Linked DNA regions of Arabidopsis thaliana. The protein of the gene in region 3 interacts with the protein of the main gene of each other region in a pairwise test. Each region holds a gene or a part of one and is shown on either strand. Other genes may lie near its edges.

What was found.
Region 1: the proteins of IMPA-4 (region 3) and TERT interact in a two-hybrid assay, tested with the Arabidopsis thaliana proteins (2 studies listed by BioGRID, with this or other methods).
Region 2: the proteins of IMPA-4 (region 3) and KAI2 interact in binary tests that used the Arabidopsis thaliana proteins (3 or more experiments, as listed by UniProt).

What each region holds. Positions count from the first base shown.
Region 1 is NC_003076.8:5,537,144-5,546,263, forward strand, and holds TERT (telomerase reverse transcriptase), read right to left. Parts: upstream 6,417-9,120; 5' UTR 6,302-6,416; coding exon 6,002-6,301; intron 5,847-6,001; coding exon 5,772-5,846; intron 5,691-5,771; coding exon 5,625-5,690; intron 5,544-5,624; coding exon 5,432-5,543; intron 5,253-5,431; coding exon 4,906-5,252; intron 4,610-4,905; coding exon 4,537-4,609; intron 4,415-4,536; coding exon 4,282-4,414; intron 4,097-4,281; coding exon 3,961-4,096; intron 3,698-3,960; coding exon 2,645-3,697; intron 2,473-2,644; coding exon 1,943-2,472; coding exon of another isoform or gene 1,927-1,942; intron 1,844-1,926; coding exon 1,571-1,843; intron 1,454-1,570; coding exon 1,180-1,453; 3' UTR 1,037-1,179; downstream 1-1,036. Other genes in the region: BPA1 (binding partner of acd11 1), read left to right, coding at 174-248, 362-883; AT5G16860 (Tetratricopeptide repeat (TPR)-like superfamily protein), read left to right, coding at 6,691-9,120. UniProt on the Arabidopsis thaliana protein: Telomerase is a ribonucleoprotein enzyme essential for the replication of chromosome termini in most eukaryotes. It elongates telomeres.
Region 2 is NC_003075.7:17,615,208-17,620,593, forward strand, and holds KAI2 (alpha/beta-Hydrolases superfamily protein), read right to left. Parts: upstream 3,450-5,386; 5' UTR 3,157-3,449; coding exon 2,789-3,156; intron 2,283-2,788; coding exon 1,838-2,282; 3' UTR 1,452-1,837; downstream 1-1,451. Other genes in the region: SRFR1 (Tetratricopeptide repeat (TPR)-like superfamily protein), read right to left, coding at 1-90, 200-327; AT4G37480 (Chaperone DnaJ-domain superfamily protein), read left to right, coding at 4,054-4,377, 4,510-5,386.
Region 3 is NC_003070.9:2,991,588-2,999,312, reverse strand, and holds IMPA-4 (importin alpha), read right to left. Parts: upstream 4,983-7,725; 5' UTR 4,808-4,982; coding exon 4,577-4,807; intron 4,167-4,576; coding exon 4,070-4,166; intron 3,969-4,069; coding exon 3,877-3,968; intron 3,777-3,876; coding exon 3,645-3,776; intron 3,421-3,644; coding exon 3,235-3,420; intron 3,087-3,234; coding exon 2,923-3,086; intron 2,676-2,922; coding exon 2,597-2,675; intron 2,513-2,596; coding exon 2,384-2,512; intron 2,112-2,383; coding exon 1,984-2,111; intron 1,859-1,983; coding exon 1,480-1,858; 3' UTR 1,475-1,479; exon of another isoform or gene 1,394-1,474; 3' UTR 1,105-1,393; downstream 1-1,104. Other genes in the region: AT1G09280 (rhodanese-like domain protein), read left to right, coding at 1-109, 186-285, 398-1,104; AT1G09260 (Chaperone DnaJ-domain superfamily protein), read right to left, coding at 5,493-5,909. UniProt on the Arabidopsis thaliana protein: Binds to conventional NLS motifs and mediates nuclear protein import across the nuclear envelope. Acts as a cellular receptor for the nuclear import of the virD2 protein of Agrobacterium and is essential for Agrobacterium-mediated root transformation.

The DNA.
Region 1 (9,120 bases), on a different chromosome or scaffold from region 3:
TAACACTGTTAATTTAGTAATCAATCCATGTCTATAAACCTTCGTTTAATATGGTTATACTTCTCTAGTCCAGACAAAGTATCTCTGAGTATTTATAAGTAAAATTAGTTTGCTTACAACTAATATTTGGGACCATTTGCAATTTGCATTACTAACAAGGGGTGTTATTTCAGGGAGCGAGTATTGCCGATCAATCAGTCATCATTGAGTTGGCTCCCAACTACAGTCCACCAGCAGCCCCTCATGCTGTAATGTCTTCTTCATACTGTTTTTCTTCTTTTTGATTAGTGAAAAGTATTCATCTCAACACTCAATAGAGCAGTAATTTCGTAGAGGTGTTAATTTGTGTTAATTTTCTCAGGAAACACAGAGCAGCGGTGCAGAATCTGTTGTCCAGAAGGCAGAAGATGTTGTGAGCAGCATGTTAGCAAAGGGTTTCATTCTTGGGAAAGATGCTGTCGGCAAAGCAAAAGCTTTTGATGAGAAACATGGTTTCACCTCAACCGCCACCGCAGGAGTTGCTTCACTAGACCAAAAAATCGGTCTTAGCCAGAAACTTACAGCTGGAACAAGCTTGGTGAACGAAAAAATCAAGGCGGTGGACCAAAACTTTCAGGTAACAGAGAGGACCAAGTCTGTGTATGCAGCTGCGGAGCAGACTGTGAGCAGTGCAGGAAGCGCTGTGATGAAGAACCGTTACGTGTTAACTGGTGTGAGCTGGGCCGCAGGAGCATTCAATAGAGTGGCTCAAGCAGCTGGAGAGGTTGGACAGAAAACAAAAGAGAAGGTTGAAGCTGAGCAACCATCGCAACCAGCACAGTCGCAGCAGCAACTGCCAGAAGGGTATTCTCCGATTCATTCGTCCGAATACTCGAAGAACTAATATCATCAAGTTAAACAGTTTCCTTTGTTTCTCCTTGTTGGTTTCTTTGACATGGAAGTTGGAAATCTGGTTTGGTCTTTGGGATGTACCATATAAGCTATGCCTGGATTTTCCCTACCACTATTAGACTATAGTTTGGGTTTTTTCCAATATACATATTTAATAAGTTGACATTTAAATCTTTCTTTACCCTAAATGTTACAAATCCATTTTGTTCCTAGATTATCAAAATGACTGAAATAGAAATTTAAAGGATCTACCTAAGTTTCGATGATAAAATCTAGTTAAGATCAGTTTCAATAATTCAACTTCCACAGCGAAGAAGAGTTTGACCGGTCTGTTGCATACCTCAATTCCGACGATAGCTGCTGAGAAAGAGAGTGTTTAGAAAGTGCAGATTTTAAATAGATCAAGAGCATTCGATATCTCGAGTTTTTCTTCTTCAGAACTTGAATATAAGCGTCTAAGCCAAGCCATATCACTTCTTCTTTGTATAGTTTAAGAACTGGTCTGAAACTAGAACCAGTGTTGATTCTGCGCACCCTTCTATTTATGAGTCTGAACATGTACCTATCAGTTGGAAAGAAATCAAGAACCGAATAAGCAAAAAAAGACCGAATAACTCAAATCAGAATGATCCAAAAACCGAAATGCTCACAGACATATGATGTAGTTTTGATTCCATACCTGACAGATATTGTGATGAATTTGAACAAAGTTTGAGGATGAAGCTTCCAAAACCGGGACACCTCGTAGACATAACAGTGAAACTTCATTGCAGCCAACAGAAAGATCTGATAGATGTTTAACCTGACGATTTCTCCCGAGTTGATGTTCGAGTCAAATAGAATTGGATGACATTTCGGAACCAAGAAGTAACACAATTTTTGCCGAAGATTTCTAACTGGTTTGTTCTGCCAAGCTACAGAAAAAGTTGAGCTTATATGGCCACTCAAGTACCTGTTTCCATGAATTTGAGGCAAAATTATAAATAAAAGCTGAGGAAACAGAGCCAAACAAGTATACTTATGAAGGAAACATACAGGAGATGAGGCAGACCTTGTGTAGTCAACTTGAACTTCAAATGTGCGGGAATTAATAAGCAAACCCGTCCATCTGACAAAAGGAACTCCATTATCTCCCACAAACATTCTATTAGAAGAACACCTATGTTCTTCTTTATCTTCAAAATTTATGCAGAATTTTGTTTCGTTCATGAAGCAGTTGTAATCTTTAAATCCATGCTTCAACCTGTGATAGAAGCTACTCGCCTGATCTCTTGAGGTAGACACAAAAAGGTAGTCATCAATAAATCTCAGTAACTTATAGCTCGTGGGAATTATAAGCTCTTCCTCTCTACTGCATTCTTTAGAAGACACATCTTTAGAGGCTTCTTCGAGGAATGGGTAGATCAAAGTCCTCTCGAGATGCCCGTAGTAAAAACAACATAACAAGGATGATAATCTGTGTCCCTGAGGTATTCCAGCTATTTGTACATAGAAGCTTTTATCCAACTGCAGCATGTTGTTCTTTAGCATATTTCCTATCCAAACCATTAGATCCTTTTTCCTCACTCGATGGTTTTCTCCCTAGAAGGTTGGACCAAAACCATAACACCGTTAAGCAAATAAGTAAAGAACAACAGGGACGCTACAAGCACTAAGAAAAGAGATCTCTAGAGATTTTTTTAAGTAGTCCAATAGTTTTGTATTTTACCCTCTGCAAAAAGATCAAAAAGCTCTAGGTCAAAAAGAAGCATACCTTATCAACCACGATACTTTGCAGTGCATTATATGGAACAGTTGATGTGAATCTTGAAAAGTTAGAATTTTTGTCACTCGAGACTAGTATTTTGTTTACCCAATTGGATCTCTTCCCACAGCAGACCAGCCTACATCTGTTTAAGATGTATTCATCTTTCAGAAAACTTTGAATGACATGAAGCAGCTTACCCTGGTCGACTGAATCAAATGCTTTGAATACATCCGCAACCACAAAGTACAAAGGAGGAAGTTCTCCAGATTGACTTCTTAAATGGATCAGATATGGGCATAGGTTTCTGTAGAAATCATCATGGTCAAAGACAGAAGACCCAAGAACATCTGGTTCTTTGAGCTGGATGTCCTTCAAAACAGCATGTGTATCACGAAGAGATTGCGACCTTGACGAAGAACTAAAGTCTAACACCATCCTCACACCATTGGCCTTTGGTAAAAATCTAAACTTTGATAGCTTCTTCCTGCTACTTTCAGCTTCAGCATCGTCTACTAGGACATATCCATCAAGGGCTTTGCTAATTTCTTTGCTTATTAATCTTTCCCAGCTCCTTTTCCGGTAATAATAAATATTTAGCCGTCCTCCTTGGCTTTCAGTGGCATAGAAGTTGAAGTGCACCAATTTCTTGACAATCTCTAAAAAAAGCCAAGAAATCCATTTCGTGCACAACATCTGCTGTGTACTTCTGATGGATTCACTTTGGAGTTCATGTCCGTTGACCATACAGCATAACTCTTTTCTAGCAAAGAATGGGAAATCTGATGGTTTCACTTTATGCAAAAACTGATTCACTGTGCATTTCTCATTTCGTCGCCTTGAAACAAACCACGCTATATTTTTCCTAAGCACCCTCATCTGATGAGTGGTCCCAAGCAAACTTTCTGGAACAATGTACCTACAGATGGCCCAAATAAAGGAAACTACTTGGTCGTTCGTGCAATACAGCTTCCTTTCTTCAACACTGGGACATTTGGGTTTTCCCGTTTGTGATGAACTTGATCCATGAGGCAGCTTATCTGCTTTTTGCCTCCTTGAACTCTGTAATACAAGATATGCAAGGTTCGTCACTTCAAGGAAGCACTTGGAAGTGCCACGGATATGAATTCTTATGCAGGTTTGCACTATATATCCAAAGTCTATAAAGTAGCAACTGTGTTGATTTTCCATTTCTAGTTTCTTTTTGTTGTACATATTCGAATATTCAACATAACTTCTCTGAAATAGAAATACTCAAAAGACATCAAACGAAAAACGCTAGGGAAATTAAATATGAAAACCATCTCTAAAAGAAAAATATCAACCTGAGAAGTCGTTCCGGACTTCAATGCATCCTCTTGCAGCAAGAGAACAGGACAGTGTTTGTCTAGTAGCATTTTTAAATGTGAAGACTTTGTTTTTCCTATTAGATTTTTAAGAGACTTGAGCAATGAATGGTATCTGCAAATCAATGTAAAAGACATCATGATATCATTTTCTTCTTTGCATCAGTTACCTCAACAAAACTTTTAAACAAATTCCTTTTATAACTCAGACTACTTAGATATGTGCTCTACATTATCTGAATACATGCTCCAAGTCTCAGAGTAAGCCGAAGAACTTACAAGAATAAATGGATGACTTACAAGCAAATAGATCCACTGGGGCAATTGCCTTTGCCATGAGATGGCGTCGTTGACCAAACATTTACTTCACCAAATATATGGTTCATTAGGAGCTTTGAATCAGAGCAGTTGGGCCTCAAGGTTTTTAAAATGTCTGTATATCATAAGGAATCATTCACAATGCAGAAGAACTGTATAGAGAAGAGTAACGTTTAAACTTCCATCAAGCTATCGTTGCTACAAGTCATTGAACATGTCAAAACCACTGAAGGATACGGTTTGGTGGTATAACTGAATACGTTTCTGAGAGGCCAAACTTGAAATTCTTGTTTCTTTTAACCTGTTTAGCCTACAAAAAACAGTGATTAAATCTTACAAATACAAGAACAGATTGTCGAATTTGAAGGTAATGAAGTGTCAGGAAGAATATTAATAACCACCAGAATACAACAAGATAAATGATACAGTTTTTAAAATACACCAAAGTACAACTACAAAAATAGTCCCATCAATTTCTCAAGGCTGAGGATAAATCAAGAGCAATTTATACACGTCTCTTAGTAATTTTAAGCAATAACTTTATGTTTAAACTTGTGCATTTTCAACTTAAACTTGATTGATCAATATCATTGTTACGAACATTACCTGCTTTACAAAATCAGTGAGACTTCCATTTATACCAATGTGCAGATTCATTTCGTCATTACCAGTTGAGACTTTACCATTTGTACTGGGAGTTATACAAGGAGCATTACAGTCAACTTTTTTGAAATTGACCTTTCTCTGCTTTCGCCGACGCTTAAGATATATTCTTGAACGCTTAGTAGTTTTTTTCTCTCTATGTTGGTCTACATCCTCGCCAACTATGGGCGTAATAGTTGCAGAGTCATCCTTAGGACAGTCATCGACAGCTGAAGAAAGCCACTGCCTTTTCGTTGGTGGCTGAACGTTGTCATCCCTCTTTCTTTTGTTTTCATGGACTGACAATGTCCCTATACCATGGAGAAGGAAAACTTTACTAAGTTAATATGAACTAAAAACCAGAAGTTGATAATCGATAACCAAGCAGTCACAGACAAATCATAAGTATTCAGAGAACCAACAAGAAAGTGGAAGTTTCAAAAGAAAGCCAACAGAAGAGCTCGGATACAAGTTTAATTCTGAGACTCACGCTTATGCTTGATACATAGAGGAGGTCCAGACACTTGCTGGTGTTTTTTCCCTAGTAATGGTAAGAATATTGATGTTTGCTGTAGAAGATAAACCATGACGTCATGACCGACCTATAAACAAGGGAACTTGAATATTAGTGACCGCAAACTCGAATATTGAAAGTAAATCATCAAAAGGGTTTGAGAACAAACCCGCTTGAGAAGAAACTCCCAAGATGAACTTGTCAATAGCTCCAAAATAGGGCTCGACTGATCATACTGTCAAAGGAGACGAGAAATCATTAGGCTAAGAAAATCAGCACTCTACATTGAGTTTGAGAAGGAAGAAGAAGAATTCACCTTATCATATCTGGCACATATCACATTTTGGCAATCACATCCAGATTGCATCATTTCAATAATCCTTTCAACAATCTGATAAACTCAATTGAAGCAAAATGTTTAGAAATCAGCAACATCATACAAAATAAGATAACATAGAGGCATTTTATAAGGAGTAGCCACGTCTTGAAATATCTCAAATTAAGCACTCAAAGCAATGTATAGTACAGTGGGAAGAAGAATCTTACCTCTCTCTGTGACCACCAAGATGTTGGAGAGAAATCCAGAAGCGGAGGGGTTTGTTCGTGAAGTACAACGAAGCAACGGTGAAGAAGTTTACGGTAGTGAATGGGATCATCGGAACGCAGCAGAAACGCCGGTTTATCGCTGCTGCAACCGAGACAACCTTGACCCCGGCATCGGCATTGCTCCGGCTGGATATTCCGGTTAGGAATCAGATCTACTATTGCGTCGTTTAAATTCCTGGCTCTGTTTCCGAATAACCTCCATAGAATCTCCGGTACACGATGTCTAGGTTTACGCGGCATTACACCTTCCTCCTCCTTTCTCTCGAATTTGGAGAGAGAGAAGAGTGAACGAGCTTCGATAATGGAGTCTGATGGTGTGAAAGAGGCGGGAGATTAAAGGTCTTCTGGGTTCTCGAAACTATAAACTGCGATTTTGAAAATTTCAAAACAATTCAAAGCTGAGCTACAAACGCTATCCAAAGCGTCCACTCAACCGCAAACGCAGGTCGCTTAGCACATAAACCGAACCGAAATTCGCTTTAAATTTTAATCGGTCTATTATACTTTCTTCTTCTTTTCACATCCGGTTTCATTACTTTCTTCAAATTTCCAATCTAAAACCGGGATATAACCGAATTGATTTGTTTAGTTTAAACGCAGAAATCACCCGCCACTCTAGTTACAGTAGTATGATCCGCCGCCTTCTCATCCCCAACGCCGCCGCAAAATCTCACCAGTACATTAAAGTCTCTCTCTTCTCGACATCGGCGCCGGAGATAACACCGCCGTTTATTCACAAATGCAAAACCATCTCTCAGGTCAAGCTTATTCACCAGAAACTCCTCTCTTTCGGAATCCTAACCTTGAATCTCACTTCCCACCTCATTTCCACCTATATCTCCGTCGGTTGCTTATCTCATGCCGTATCTCTCCTCCGTCGTTTTCCTCCATCTGACGCTGGTGTCTACCATTGGAATTCACTCATTCGCAGCTACGGCGACAATGGCTGCGCCAATAAATGTCTCTATTTGTTCGGCCTTATGCATTCTCTGTCATGGACGCCGGATAATTACACATTCCCCTTCGTCTTCAAGGCTTGCGGCGAGATATCCTCCGTTCGTTGTGGAGAATCTGCTCACGCGCTTTCTCTGGTAACTGGATTTATCTCCAATGTCTTTGTTGGGAATGCGCTTGTTGCTATGTATTCCCGTTGTCGTTCATTGAGTGATGCACGGAAGGTGTTCGACGAAATGTCTGTTTGGGATGTTGTATCGTGGAACTCTATAATAGAAAGTTATGCAAAGTTAGGCAAACCTAAGGTGGCGCTTGAAATGTTTAGCAGGATGACCAATGAATTCGGATGTAGACCTGATAATATTACCCTTGTGAATGTTCTTCCTCCTTGTGCTTCCCTAGGAACTCATTCACTAGGGAAGCAATTGCATTGTTTTGCAGTCACAAGTGAGATGATACAGAATATGTTTGTAGGGAATTGCTTGGTGGATATGTATGCAAAGTGTGGGATGATGGATGAGGCAAACACGGTGTTTTCGAACATGTCAGTGAAGGACGTAGTATCTTGGAATGCTATGGTTGCTGGGTATTCACAGATTGGAAGGTTTGAAGATGCTGTTAGGTTATTTGAGAAGATGCAGGAAGAGAAAATAAAAATGGATGTTGTTACTTGGAGTGCTGCTATTTCAGGGTATGCTCAACGGGGACTTGGATATGAAGCTTTGGGTGTGTGTAGGCAGATGTTGTCTTCTGGGATAAAACCAAATGAAGTCACGCTTATTTCGGTTCTTTCGGGTTGTGCTTCTGTTGGAGCATTGATGCATGGTAAAGAGATTCATTGTTATGCCATCAAATATCCCATAGACTTGCGTAAGAACGGTCATGGTGATGAGAATATGGTAATCAATCAACTGATTGACATGTACGCTAAGTGCAAAAAGGTTGATACTGCACGTGCTATGTTTGATTCACTTTCCCCCAAGGAAAGGGATGTTGTGACTTGGACTGTGATGATAGGTGGATACTCCCAGCACGGGGATGCAAATAAAGCTCTCGAACTTTTATCTGAGATGTTTGAGGAAGATTGCCAAACAAGACCAAATGCTTTTACCATATCATGTGCCCTCGTGGCATGTGCCAGTTTGGCTGCACTAAGAATTGGCAAGCAGATTCATGCTTATGCGTTGCGCAACCAGCAGAATGCAGTACCGCTGTTCGTATCAAACTGTCTAATAGACATGTATGCAAAATGTGGAAGCATCAGTGATGCCCGCCTTGTATTTGACAATATGATGGCGAAAAATGAAGTTACTTGGACATCTCTAATGACGGGTTATGGTATGCATGGTTATGGAGAAGAAGCTCTTGGAATCTTTGATGAAATGAGGAGAATAGGTTTTAAGCTTGATGGTGTTACATTACTTGTTGTATTATATGCTTGTAGTCATTCAGGAATGATTGATCAGGGCATGGAGTATTTCAATAGAATGAAAACTGTTTTTGGGGTTAGTCCTGGTCCGGAGCATTATGCATGTTTGGTTGACTTGTTAGGTCGTGCTGGCCGGTTGAATGCAGCTTTGCGTCTCATTGAAGAAATGCCAATGGAGCCTCCTCCTGTGGTATGGGTTGCTTTTCTCAGTTGCTGCAGAATCCACGGAAAAGTTGAACTCGGGGAGTACGCTGCGGAAAAAATAACAGAATTAGCATCTAATCATGATGGATCATATACATTACTCTCAAATTTGTATGCAAATGCAGGGCGTTGGAAAGATGTGACTAGGATCAGATCATTGATGAGACATAAAGGAGTTAAGAAAAGACCTGGTTGTAGTTGGGTTGAAGGAATTAAAGGAACTACTACGTTCTTCGTGGGTGATAAAACTCATCCACACGCTAAGGAAATATACCAGGTCCTCTTAGATCACATGCAACGCATCAAGGACATTGGTTATGTTCCTGAAACAGGCTTTGCTCTTCATGATGTAGACGATGAAGAGAAAGATGATCTTCTTTTCGAGCATAGTGAGAAGTTAGCTCTTGCATATGGTATTCTAACAACTCCGCAAGGTGCTGCTATCAGGATTACTAAGAATTTACGGGTATGT
Region 2 (5,386 bases), on a different chromosome or scaffold from region 3:
ATGGCAAAAGGTTCAAGCAGAAGTGCCTTGTCACAGTCCTTAATCACATGCTTGTGAAGCTCCAATTGATTATAACAAAACGCTCTATTGCTGAAACCAAATTCCCAATTCAAAAAAAAATACTGAGATTAACGGGAGAAAAATCATTGATACCGATCCGGAGAAATTGAATGAGAGAACAAAGATCTCGAAACCAAACCATATATCCAAAATTGAAGACTCCTTAGCAAGGAGCGAATCGAGAACTCGGATCGCTTTAGACCAGTTCCGTGAACTGCAGTGCTTGGCTAACTCGAATCGTTCCGATGTCGCCGTCGCCGTCGCCATTTTTTGAGCGGTGGTGTCTCCGATGGAGAAATCAATCGCCTATTTAATCTTTCTCAATTTTATCCCTCTTCTTCGTGGCCGTCGTGTCACGGGAACGATGGGTTTAGGGGTAAAAAGGGAAATTAGTACAGTGGAGAAAATGGTAAAGAGAGAAGACTTTGACGGAGAACGAAACGGGGAAGAAAAAAAAGTAACGGGGAAGAGAGAGATAGTAAATAAAAAAGTAACGGAGAGATAAGAGCGAAGAGACGATGATGGTGAATGTGAATGTGATACTGGTGGTGGTGCTTGTGGTGCTGCTGCTGCTTCTCAATAAGTGGTGCTAATCAAATTTTGGGGCAAGAGTCGCACACGTATGAAGTTTCTTGTCACGTGACTTTTTGTTGTGTATATATGGGCCTAGCCCACTTATTATTTATTACCCTTTTACAATGGGCTAGCTCTGTTAATCGTCTTGCCAAAGAAATTCTAAGCAAATTGAAGTTAGGTGTGTGACTGTATTGGAGAACAAATTTGAAGTATATATATGTTCTCAATTCTTTCATGACTATGTAAACATTTAAATTGTATGACCTGCAATGAATTTTAAAAAAATGGAAGTTTAATCATAGTATTTGACTTTTTTTTTGGGTAGGCTAATCATAGTATTTGACTAGTGATGAAGAAATAATATTGTACCAAATGATATTTAAATTTCAATAATAAAATAATTTTAAGAAAATAAATAGAAGTTTTATATAAAGTGAATTATAAAATGGAAGTTTAATCATAGTATTGACTAGTAAGAAGCAATACAATATTTACCATTTTGTTTTGTATCACTAATTTTTTAAAGCTATTTACTTACCAATCTATAACTAATTTCATAAACAACAAATCGAATAAAATCTGAGCAGGCGCGTCAATAAAATTTGAAAGTTATTAGTGATAAATGATAATATAGAAAACAATATCTTTTGCACCGCATCCCTATAATAACATCAAACAAATCCATAATTTCATAAGCAAACAAACCTAACAAAATATGACTTAACTCCATCCTAATTCAAAACCCTAAATTTTCATTTTACTTTGTTTAAAACTTGGCTAATTTTTGTTCACAAACAAACAAATTTCAAAACCATCACAATATGTATGTTTTATGGTTTGGATTACCCATCCATAAATGCAAACTCAATGCTAATTCCTAGTATCACATGTTAATTACTCTTCACACAGTATAGCACAAGCACTCTTGCAAAGTTGCAATAATTCACTATGGACCATCAATTACGAACATCACTATTACATCAAGCAATAATGAGCTCTGAGCAAAGCTGTGGACAAAAGACAGAGACTTTTCGTTAAACAAGATAAGAACAACAAAGATCAAGATACTCAAGATAAACGAATCAGAACCAAACGACAACGAAATAATGTTCTCAATAGACTAGACAGACATATCACATCAGATATTTTTTTTCAACTTTTCTTACATCGTTTAATAATTAACTAATTAAATCTCTTACAATCACATAGCAATGTCATTACGAATGTGACGGAGGATGACAGGAATAACAGAATCTGGTGAGCTAAGCTGAGGAAGATGACCATCAGAAGGAATAACCTCGACGACGGATTCACAGCCAAGATTGGCGTGAAGATACTCGGAGACAACGACTGGTACAGCTAAGTCCTTAACACTTTGGAGAATGTGACACGGAACAGTGACAAAAGGTAAGATCTGTCTCATGTCACTTTGGAAAATGGTCTGGCCGACGGAGAGAGCTATGTCGGGACGCATATTGAAGAGTGTTCTGCTGAATTCTTGAACGGCGATGGAGTCCATGTCGCCACCGACGGCGAGTGGAGCGAAACCTAAGCACCACGCTTTGTAGTTGCTTCGGATGGCTTCGAATAGTTGGTTTAAGTCTTCTTGTTCGAATCCACCTTGGTAATCAACATCGTTTACGTATCTATAAACGTACCAAAACAATATAATTTGATTATATATGTTTCTTTTGTCAGAAGAAAATTAAAATATATAATATACTGTGTGAGCACCGTTTCAACAATTTTTTTTAAAAAAAGTGTAAGTAACACCTCAGTAAAACCAAATAAAAAAAAACAAATAAACAAATGGGTATTTCATGATTTTTTGTTCATAATTTACGGATTTTTATTGAAATATATAATGAAATGCTTCACTGATTTTGAGAAATAGGATAATTCAGACAAGAGGATAAACAAAGAGGCACTTTGTCGAAATTATGTCAGAATGAGAAATAAATATTTCGAAATAATAGATAATTGTGTAAATTTAAGGACTTAAGATGATTTTTTTTTATTTAAATTGTAATGTTTAATAGTTTTTATGAAATCAGACAAGAGAAGGAACAGAGAAGCCCTTTTGTCTAAACTATGTCAGGATGAGATAAAAAGCAAAACATATTTCTATGTACAACTTGTGAAAAAGTTATACCTCGGAGAAGCAGAGATCATGACGATTTTGGAGAAGAGATCAGGACGGTTAAGAGAAGCCAAGACACCAATCATGGCAGAAACAGAGTGGCCAACAAAGATACAAGACTCAATCTTGAGATCTTCCAAGATTGCAATCAAATCGAAAGAGTAGCCTTCGAGATTTGAGTAACGATCGAAGTCGAAATAGTCAGGGTTGGTCGTACCGGCTCCCATGTTGTCGTAGAGGACGACGCGGTAATCGTCGACCAGATGTGGAACCAAGTGTTTCCATACTGACTGGTCCGTGCCGAACCCGTGACCTAACACGATCGTGGCTTCTCCTGAACCAATCACCTTCACGTTGTGAGCTTCTTCTACCACACCCATCTCTCTAAAGAAGATTCTTCTCTGGTTTTCTTCTTGGTACCTCTCTTAGTCAGTTCGTGGAGAAATTATGATATTTGTGTTGTTTTAGAGTGTTACGTATTATTCTTTATAAAAAAATTCGTATCTGTGGAAGAGGAAATAAATTATTTAAAATATCGCGATTTACAGGTGGCAAAAAAAGGTGAATGGAACCATGTTTGTTGGATTGTCAAACATCGCTATTCGTGATAATTTGTTTTTTGGAATCAAGCCCAAAATATTTTGGAACATTTAATGGAGTACATGACGTGGAGTTACTGACTTCTGTTCAACAATAAAATTGTTACATTGGGTTACAAATACATGAACCAATTATTTTTAATTTTGTGCATGAATTTCAACAATGCATTAATGCGAAAGAAAATTAGTTTCAATCATTCAAAGAGTGGCAGCAAATAGTCAAAAGCTGATATAATTATTATTTTAACAACACTAGTTAAATTTCGCATGTATACAACTTGCAATGAATATAGCATCTAAAAACCTCATAATATTTGTTTTTTTCTGCTTGACTTTAACTTGTCAGTACTTTTCGATCATTTAGAAGTTAGAAGACATTAATTATTCATGGAATGCCATGGTGAGTATACGACCACGTATTCACATCCACTTCCTCATCATTTTAAGAGTCAAAAATATCTGTGAGAGGATCCTGGCCCATTAAAATTCAAGGCCCATTTAGTGTAATATGGCTTCATGTTCTCTCTTTCCTAAGACCGTTTTTACTGTTGACCAATAAAGTCTGAACTCGTGATGACGTGGCGTGAAATCGAGAGACCCACGTGTCATCGGCGTGCCGTTATCCTCTTTCCACTTCCGGTCTCCGTTCCCACCTGAGTAAACCATACTGGTCGTGAAATGACGATTCTCGCCGGGTTGATACGCCGGCGTTTTAGTAGATTAGTTCCGGTTCAACTGAATTACGGTTTCGAACCGTCGCGAATTCTCTTTAACCCGAGTCAAGGAAGAACTCGGTTGCTGAGCGGCGAGGCTGAGTCCAATCGGAACGAGTTTCCGGTGGAGAACGCTTACGATATCTTGAATGTCTCCGAAACCAGCTCAATCGCAGAGATCAAAGCATCATTTCGCAGACTCGCCAAGGAGACTCATCCTGATCTGATCGAATCCAAGAAAGATCCATCAAATTCGAGACGATTCGTTCAGATTCTCGCTGCTTATGAGGTACAATGAAGAAAGCTTCACTCTTCACTCTTATGATTAGTTTCAAAATCGAAAATTTCAAGCTTTTCAAGCTTTTGTGATAGAGTTATAGCTTTAGAAGTGTCTGATGAATGATTTGTGGTGATGATACAGATTCTATCAGATTCTGAAAAGAGAGCACACTATGATAGATATTTGCTATCTCGGAGAATGGTAATGAAGAAGCACTCGGGACAAGGTTATATGATTCACAGGTATAAAACAGGATTGACATTGAGTCAAGAGATGGAAGTAGTTGAATGGTTAAAGTGGTATAGAGAAGCAATACATGATATAGTATTGGAGAAGAGAGTAGCAAATGGTACTGGTTACTTAGATGAACTTGAAGAAGATTTTTATTCAGCTATACGAGCGGCCTACTTTGGGCCTGATGTTGAATCTGTTGAGCTTCTTCCTGATTGTTTTGAAGCTGAGGAAAGGTCTGTGTATGATACACGAGAGGTTTTGCATTTGGTATCAGGACGGGATCTTTTTGGTATGGTTTCCTTGGTTGATAACTTCCTTGAGCTTTCTTCTGCTTGCTCAAAGAAATTGGCTTTGTCGTCGTTTATGGATTCGGACCTTGGTCAAGCAGTTGAGAAAGGCAACAATGACATGATGTCTGCTGAAAGGATTGGTCTTCAGATATCTCATATACAATCTTCAAGAAGTAAAAACCATGTTTCTGATGCGTATAAAGATATTCAGCTGCATGTATCTGGAAGAGTTGTTGCTACAGCCATTAGGGTTCCCCCAAAAGGGTATCATGAAAAGAAACAAATTGAGGGTGATCACGATCTTATACACGTTTTCCTCAATTCAGATGAAGGATCTAATCATGGCACTGAATCGCCTCCGGGAAATGAAAGTGGTGCCAGACTTCTTGTTGGAACTATAAGTGGTCTTGGGACAATCCCAGATGAAGGTTCATGTTATGTCTATGATGGGAATGGTGCTAAGACTCATGTGATAATGAAACATAGGACATTTC
Region 3 (7,725 bases):
GGATATAATAGGCAGCTGCCTTCTCTGCAACAATACCTTTGACGACTATTCTCCACGTTGCCGTTGCAGATTATGCCGGATGCTTGTTTTAGTCTGCAATCATTGTCGGGTAATGCACCCAGACCACTTTTGTTGATCAACTCCATAAGGATTGTGTATCTTGGACTTATGATGTGCTATTGCAGGTTAAAGGAGATATATATATATGTGAGCTGTGTCGTAAACACGGAAAAGGGGAAGTCCCTTTGAGTCTTGATCCCTTAAACCAACCTTCTGAAAGCAATGGTAAGGTCTGTTTGTTCATTTTTGGATCAAATGTTTAAAACATCAGAGGATTTTTCAAAATTCTCTAGTCCCTTTTCCCCTGAAAACTTTGTCAATTCACTTCTATGGTCAGGTGACAATACAAGACGGAAGCTGAGGATCTTGTGCTTGCATGGATTTAGGCAGAACGCGTCTAGCTTTAAAGGGAGGACCGGATCACTAGCAAAGAAACTGAAGAATATTGCCGAGCTTGTGTTCATCGATGCACCACACGAATTACAGTTCATCTACCAAACTGCTACCCCTCCATCCGGAGTATGCAATAAGAAGTTTGCGTGGTTGGTGTCATCAGATTTTGATAAACCGAGTGAAACAGGCTGGACAGTGGCCCAATGCCAGTTCGATCCATTGCAGTATCAGACTCAAACTGAAGGGTTTGATAAATCGTTGACATACTTGAAGACGGCATTTGAAGAGAAAGGGCCTTTTGATGGCATTCTCGGATTCTCTCAAGGTGCAGCAATGGCTGCGGCTGTATGTGGGAAACAGGAGCAGCTCGTAGGTGAAATAGACTTCAGATTCTGCGTGTTGTGCTCGGGTTTCACACCGTGGCCATTGTTGGAGATGAAGGAGAAACGATCGATTAAATGCCCTTCACTTCACATATTCGGAAGTCAGCCTGGAAAAGACAGACAAATTGTGACTCAAGCCAGCTCAGACCTGGCGGGGTTGTTTGAAGATGGTTGCGCCACCATTGTTGAGCACGATTTTGGCCACATCATTCCTACAAAGTCTCCTTATATTGATGAGATTAAAGCTTTCCTTTACCAATTCATTTGAGGACTTTATTAACAAGACAAGAAGACTCTTTTGCAATCAAATATTTCTTGTACTTGTACTCTTGCCAAGTAAAAGTTATTAAACTATAACGACGACAAAGATTAAAGTGACAAATACAAAGTGTACCATATCCTAAACCAGAAACCACACTACACATAATTCATAGCAGAGTTTAAGATACAGAATCAGAGAATGATTCAGACAAATAAGGACAACATCAACAACAAAAAGAAAAAAAAACAGAAAAATAAGCCTTTTTGCACCAGAACTCAAAAAGTCGAACTTGAACCTGGCAATTGTCAATAACAGTTGCAAAAGCTGAATCTCATGTTTCCCAAACCAAAGGATTTCAATTTGTACTACTGTATACCTTTTTCAGGCAAATTTGAATCCACCAACGGGAGCAGCGGGATTGTTCCCAAAATTGAAAGCCTGTTGTGAATTGTCATTCCCGCCGTCCTGCAGAATCTGTTCTTCCTCTTCTTCAGCCCAATATCTCTCCAATATCTTAACGGCCTTCTCATATATCTCGTTGTTATCATGGGATTGAAGGTTTTCGACTTTGTCCAACCCATCAGATTCTTCTATTATTTGAGCATAGAGATTCACCCCACTGTTTAATCCCATTTCCTTGTCAGCCTCACCAACCTTGAGAATGTTTTCAAGACCCTCGAGGCACACTGTCACGATCCTTGGATCAGGGCAGATTAGAAGATCACAAAGTGGTTTGATGCAGCCTTGGGTCACCAAATATCTGCATGCAAAACTGTGTTATGGCATTTTTCGATTTCGAGATAGATAATGGTATAAGACTAAGAAGGAACACTATGAAGTGAAGTTAGTTGTTTGCAAATGCGCTTCAGAATAGAGATGACATACTGAATCTGCTCATGTGACCCTCCTGATGTGGCATTGGAAATAGCCCAAGCAGCTTCCTTCTTTATATCGAACTCCGCGTTTTGGAGCAAGTGCACAAGAGGGAGGATTATTCCAGCGCCAACCACAGCCTATTGTTTCAAATATATAAACTGATTAAAAAATTGCTTTTAGCCTCTGAAACTTTAATTAATCTCAATATTTTCAGTAGCAAATAGGGTATAATTAGGTTTCTAGGCAGAGAAGTCATTGGAAAATATGAAAGTACTAAAATTAGCTCGCTCTACTAAAAAGTTAAGAAAAGAGTAACTTCTTCACTTTTCTTCCAGAATCAGAAATGAATATCTTCCATGAACAGCCGTCTTCTTGACATATTAGAGATAGCAACAAAAAAACCGCATACCTCTATCTGAAGTTTATTCCCAGCAGTAATATTCGAGATAGTCCAACAAGCTTCTTTTTTTATACTTTTCTTGTGATTTTGCGTCAGCAAATTATAAAGGTGTGGTAGTACGCCACTCTCAATTATAAACTGACAAGCAAAGACACAGTCATAGTCAAAATCTCAAAACAAATACCCAAAACAACATAAATAGTCGTTCGTCATAAATCATACCTGTGTCTGAGAGTCATCACCAGTTACGATGTTCCCAACAGTTCGAAGAGCAGGAATGAGAACCGTAGGTGATTGATGACTTGAAGAAAGATATATTAATTAGTATAGATGCACCAAGGAAAAAAAAAATAAACAAAAGGAACAAGAATATGAGATAGTAAGAACATCAACATTCAGTTGCCAGAAGATACTCAAAAAGCATCACAAATTTGAAGATACCAACACCTTTATTGAGATAGACAAACTTTTATAGAGAGACTAAATATGATGAGAAATAAACAAAAATAATGTCTAGTCAATTATTGGTCAGGAAAAAAAGAACTAACCCCAAAAGCTCCACAAGTCGTGGACAGACACCTGCCTCAATCACAGCCTGAATCTTATCATTGGGGCCATCTGAAAGGTAGGAGAGAGCCCAGCAAGCATCAGTGAGAACCTCTTCATCATTCAGATAGATAAGCTGCCGAAGAATTGGCAACGCAGGCTTCACCTGAAACATATGAATAACCAACACTAGGCTTGAGTAAAGTAAGGAACACAACGAAACAAATATAATAATAACAATAAATAAATAAACTAGAACCATCAATCATAAGTTGTCCAGAAAAATCAAAGAGAAGCCATTCCTGTAGTCATACCTGTTCAAATGGTGTTGGTGGTTTACCACGACAAAAGTTGGACAAGGTCCATGTAGCATTTCTTAGCATGGACAACTTAGAATTTTCATTTAACTGAGCCAGCAATGGCTCAAGGGCCCCATAGTTGAGAACAAGATTCCTGCAGTTTGGAGAGTCCCCAGCAACATTTCCCAAGGCCCACACCGCCTACAATGATATCATGTAAGGGTTTGTACGAAGCCATAAAAAGTTATAGCACCTATGACTACGGAAAAGCAGTTGGCTGACTATATCACGAAAAACCACTAAGGATCAAAACAAACAACAAACAAACCAAATACGACCACGGAACTTAGAGGCATGTATCCAGGTGGACCAGGTCACATATACAAAATGGAAGCACGCAGTTATCTAGCTAGTTAGTGGCAAACCTGCTCTCGAACGTCATCACTAGCAGATGTAAGAAGCTTAACGAAGATAGGAACCGCCCCCTGTTCGATTACAACCCGAGTATGATCTGATGTTCCTGACGCAACATTGGTCAAAGCCCATGCAGCCTCAAACTGCAAACAAACTTTTCATTAAGCCACCAAACTATTCTTGAGTCTTCAAGGTGCAATTAATAAAGAACAAATCTAAAAATGAAAGAAGTACAAGACATACCTGCAATTGAGGATGGTCATGCCTTCCAAGAAACTCCACAAATCGAGGGATAACCCCAGCTTTGATCACTTCATCAATTGGAGGACTACGCTCTGTTTATCAAACCGTGTTACAAGCAACCATCAGAAGTCTATTACACACATACAACCCCAGAACAGAAAATTGCTTCTGAAAGGAACAAATGTATACCTACCTATAGATAACAACTTTCTAAATTGGGTAGTCGCTTCTAGCTGAGCTTGAGGATCATCAGAATAAACACCTTGTACCATCATTGGGATACCTTCTAACTGTCAAAAGCACATGAACGTAATCAAACAGTTGTTTCCACAGAAACGAAAACCTCTCCTTGGCTAGAAATGTAACACATCCAATCCATTGACAAGATCATCGGATCAGAAGATAGAAATTCCGATATCTAACTAAAGCACACTATACATTGCGATCAGCATACATGGTCATCCAGGATCCGCTATCAATCCCAAATATCCATAAACAAATTCCCAAAAACAAAAAACTAAACTTTGATGGTCAATTATGAGATTGGGAGCTGAGATCTAGAATTGAGGTAGGAAACAGAATCAAAGCCTCACTTTTTTCAACAATCAAACAAAGATCCATCACTAAATAATCAAATCATGTGATCCAAATCACAAAATCACGCACAATTGTATCGAAATTCAGATCAAAGGGAACTTACTCGTTTCTCAACGGCGGCAGCGGTCTGGGGACCATCAAGGCCAGCTCCGAGAGGCAGCTGCTGCTGAAGCATCATTCCTTCACGACGCTTCTTGAGAAGACTATCCTCACGCTTGTTTTTCCTAATCTCGACGAGATTGTCCTCTCTCCTCCGCCTGGCCTCATCGGCATCGACGCCTGTCTTGTATATCTTCTTCCTTAGCTCCGCGCGTGTGCTCGGCCTCAGCGACATCGTTTGTTAAAATCTCTTTCTCTCTCTCGTTCCCTGAAGGCAAACCACTTCGTCTGGATCTTCTTCCTTCTCTCTCGCTCTTTGGCAAAATTGAAATTGGAGAAATTGGGATCGTGGAGGACGAGTCGTCTGGTGCTTTCGGGTTCGGATCCGGGTCGGAGTTTTATTGGTTGTTGGATCCTTCCTCCTGACAGAGAAGTATTGCCACGCTGGCGCAAAATTTTTGTTTTTTCAGTTAATAATAATTTCGGATTTTGTTGGATCCTTCCTTCTTTTCGAATCTTTTCTCCCAAGAATCAGAGACTTTTTTCGCAACATATTATATCATTATATGTAATTATCTTGTATTAAAATAAAATAAATATAATCACGTTATTCCAACGAAAAGCAAACTCTACTAGAATCGTAACTTTTCTTATCAAATCATAATTATTATGGCAGCAAAACTGTAAATTTTGCATTTAAATAAATTCAAAAAAAGTTTGTAAAAATATCCATTAGCACTTTCAAACTGTCACAAGTTTACTTGGAATTAATACCTAGATAAAATAAAATAAAATCATAAAATTAACCTAAAAAAAGAAGAAGAACAAATAGGTTTTGTATTCCAATTCCCAAGAAAGACATGAAACCCTTGCCTCACTGTTTGATGTGGTTCATGATCTTCTGGAGACATGAATCATCTTCACTTAAACCTTTTTTTGATATTGTAATCTTTTCGTTTTTCAGGATCGGACAAGATCTTCCACGCATAATTAATAATCTCGAAAGCTGATTTGGCGGCAATAGATTTATTTGTGTCGGGGTAGAGCTTAACCAAGATGTCTCTGTACTTTCTTTGAATCATCTGATGGCTACAGAACGGATTTGAGATTCTCAAGATATCGTAGTGTGTGAAACTGGCTTTTTGGCTAGTCAAGTTGATTTGATAGGCGAGGAGAATCTGTGAGATCTCATGGTGGTTTGAAGATGTGTTTGGGTGACCAAACGTTAAGTCATTCACGATTTCAATGGCTCCTTTTAGATTACCTCTTTGATAATGTGCTTCCGCTAGTTTTAGCTGGTTTTTAAAGAATTTTGGAGCTTTCATTGAATCGTTCATTCTTTGTTTTTATTGCTGAGAATTAATGGTGAGCATGAGAGATTCAGTGATGAATTTATAAGAGAAACAAAAACATCTATGAAAAATAGGGTTTTGAGATTTGGATAACACCGAATTTTTATGGAAAATGATATTTGGGTATATCCATATTTAAGAGACAAAGAAAAATAATTTTTATTTTTATAAATCCTTTATATTGTAAAACATAAGTCACTGTACCAATAAAAATGTTAAATAAATATTTACAAAACAACAAAAAAGAATCTTCTCAATAAATAAATAAAAGCACGATTTCTCTATAAATACATTTTTGTCCTAAGTAAATTAAATCGAGAAATTACTTAAAAATACAAACTAGCCATATTTTCCACTTTGTTGTTATCGGCGGTTTCTACTCAGGCAAATATAACCGTTTCTCGTCTTTTATTTAATGAAAAGAAAAACTATCAAATTTTTAAATTTTGTGCGTAGAAAAGTTGGAGAGTACGATTGATCTAACTGTTCAGGAATGTGAGAGCAAATAAGAAAGTCAAAGATTTGGTTAGTTCTAAATTTGATTTATCAAGCTTACTCTCAATAAATTTGATTTCGTGACTATGTCATTTTAATATTCTCGTTTGATTTGTATAATAGCATAAAAACATTTACTAAAATGTTGCACTCATTGTAAAATTACAAAAAACAAAATTGAAGAAATTACATTTTATTTATTTAAAAAATTGTCATTTCTTTCACAGTAATAAAGATATGATCCTTTGTTCTGGAATGTAGGAACATGACCCCTTTCCATATCTCCACTTATATAGCTGTAGTTGTTTAGTTTGCTTAATGAAAACACCATAGTTGTTTAATTTGGTTCATTGTAGAAACGTAACAGATCCAAGTAACCAAAAAAGACGATTTATAAAGGCAGATTGAATTTTTCTCAAAAAAGTTGTCTTGTTTTTCATTGCTCTAGATTGGGACCTTAAACATCAAGGAAGGCCGACACTAGTTTGCTTGTCTATAGCCTCTCAATAATATTCCGAGTTAAGTTATTTGGAAGGAAGAAATTCTAACACTGCACATCAAAGAAAAAAACAAAAATTTGACTAATTTTTATTTTCTTTGGAAAACCAAAATATAACTATATATTTACTCTTCAGTTTATCTGTCAACATGTTTTCCTTTATCATCATGTCGTGAAAATGGAACTCGACGGGAGGAATCCATGAAGAGTGAATTGTTAGAGGCAAGTCCAAGAAGCTTGAATGCAAGATTCACAACACGATCTAATAGTAACATTCAAAATTTGGTTATATGTATGGAGGTAGTGATATAGAAACAAAATCGTAGGAGTTGAAGTGGATAATGGTTGACTTGAGACCACGTGCGGAAATGCGAGAAAACACGAGCACAGTTCAAAGACAACGAAATCTGTCTGACTAAGTACATGTGCGAGTGCATGCTGTCTTGCCACGTGTTCCATCTCATTACACCACGCAAAAGTCTTTTACGTGTATAATCAAACGTACATGAAAAGAAAAGATATGGATGACAGTATTTGTTGAATTAAATTTTGTCGAAGAGGGTTTTTGTTTGCTTCTCTAATCGTCGGACCCATTGTTTCCACTACTCAACATTCTGGTCCGGTCTTTTCTGCCGGTTGAACCGATTGCATTTTCCTTCTCTTCTACGGATTCCATAACGTTAAAGTGAGGAGTATTGGTGGAATTAGGGAACTCAAACACAAGGTAAGAATAAGATGATAATTTTGTATTTTTCTTGTTTTGTTTTTTACGAGTCGATAAGTATGGACTGTAAATGTAAAACTAGT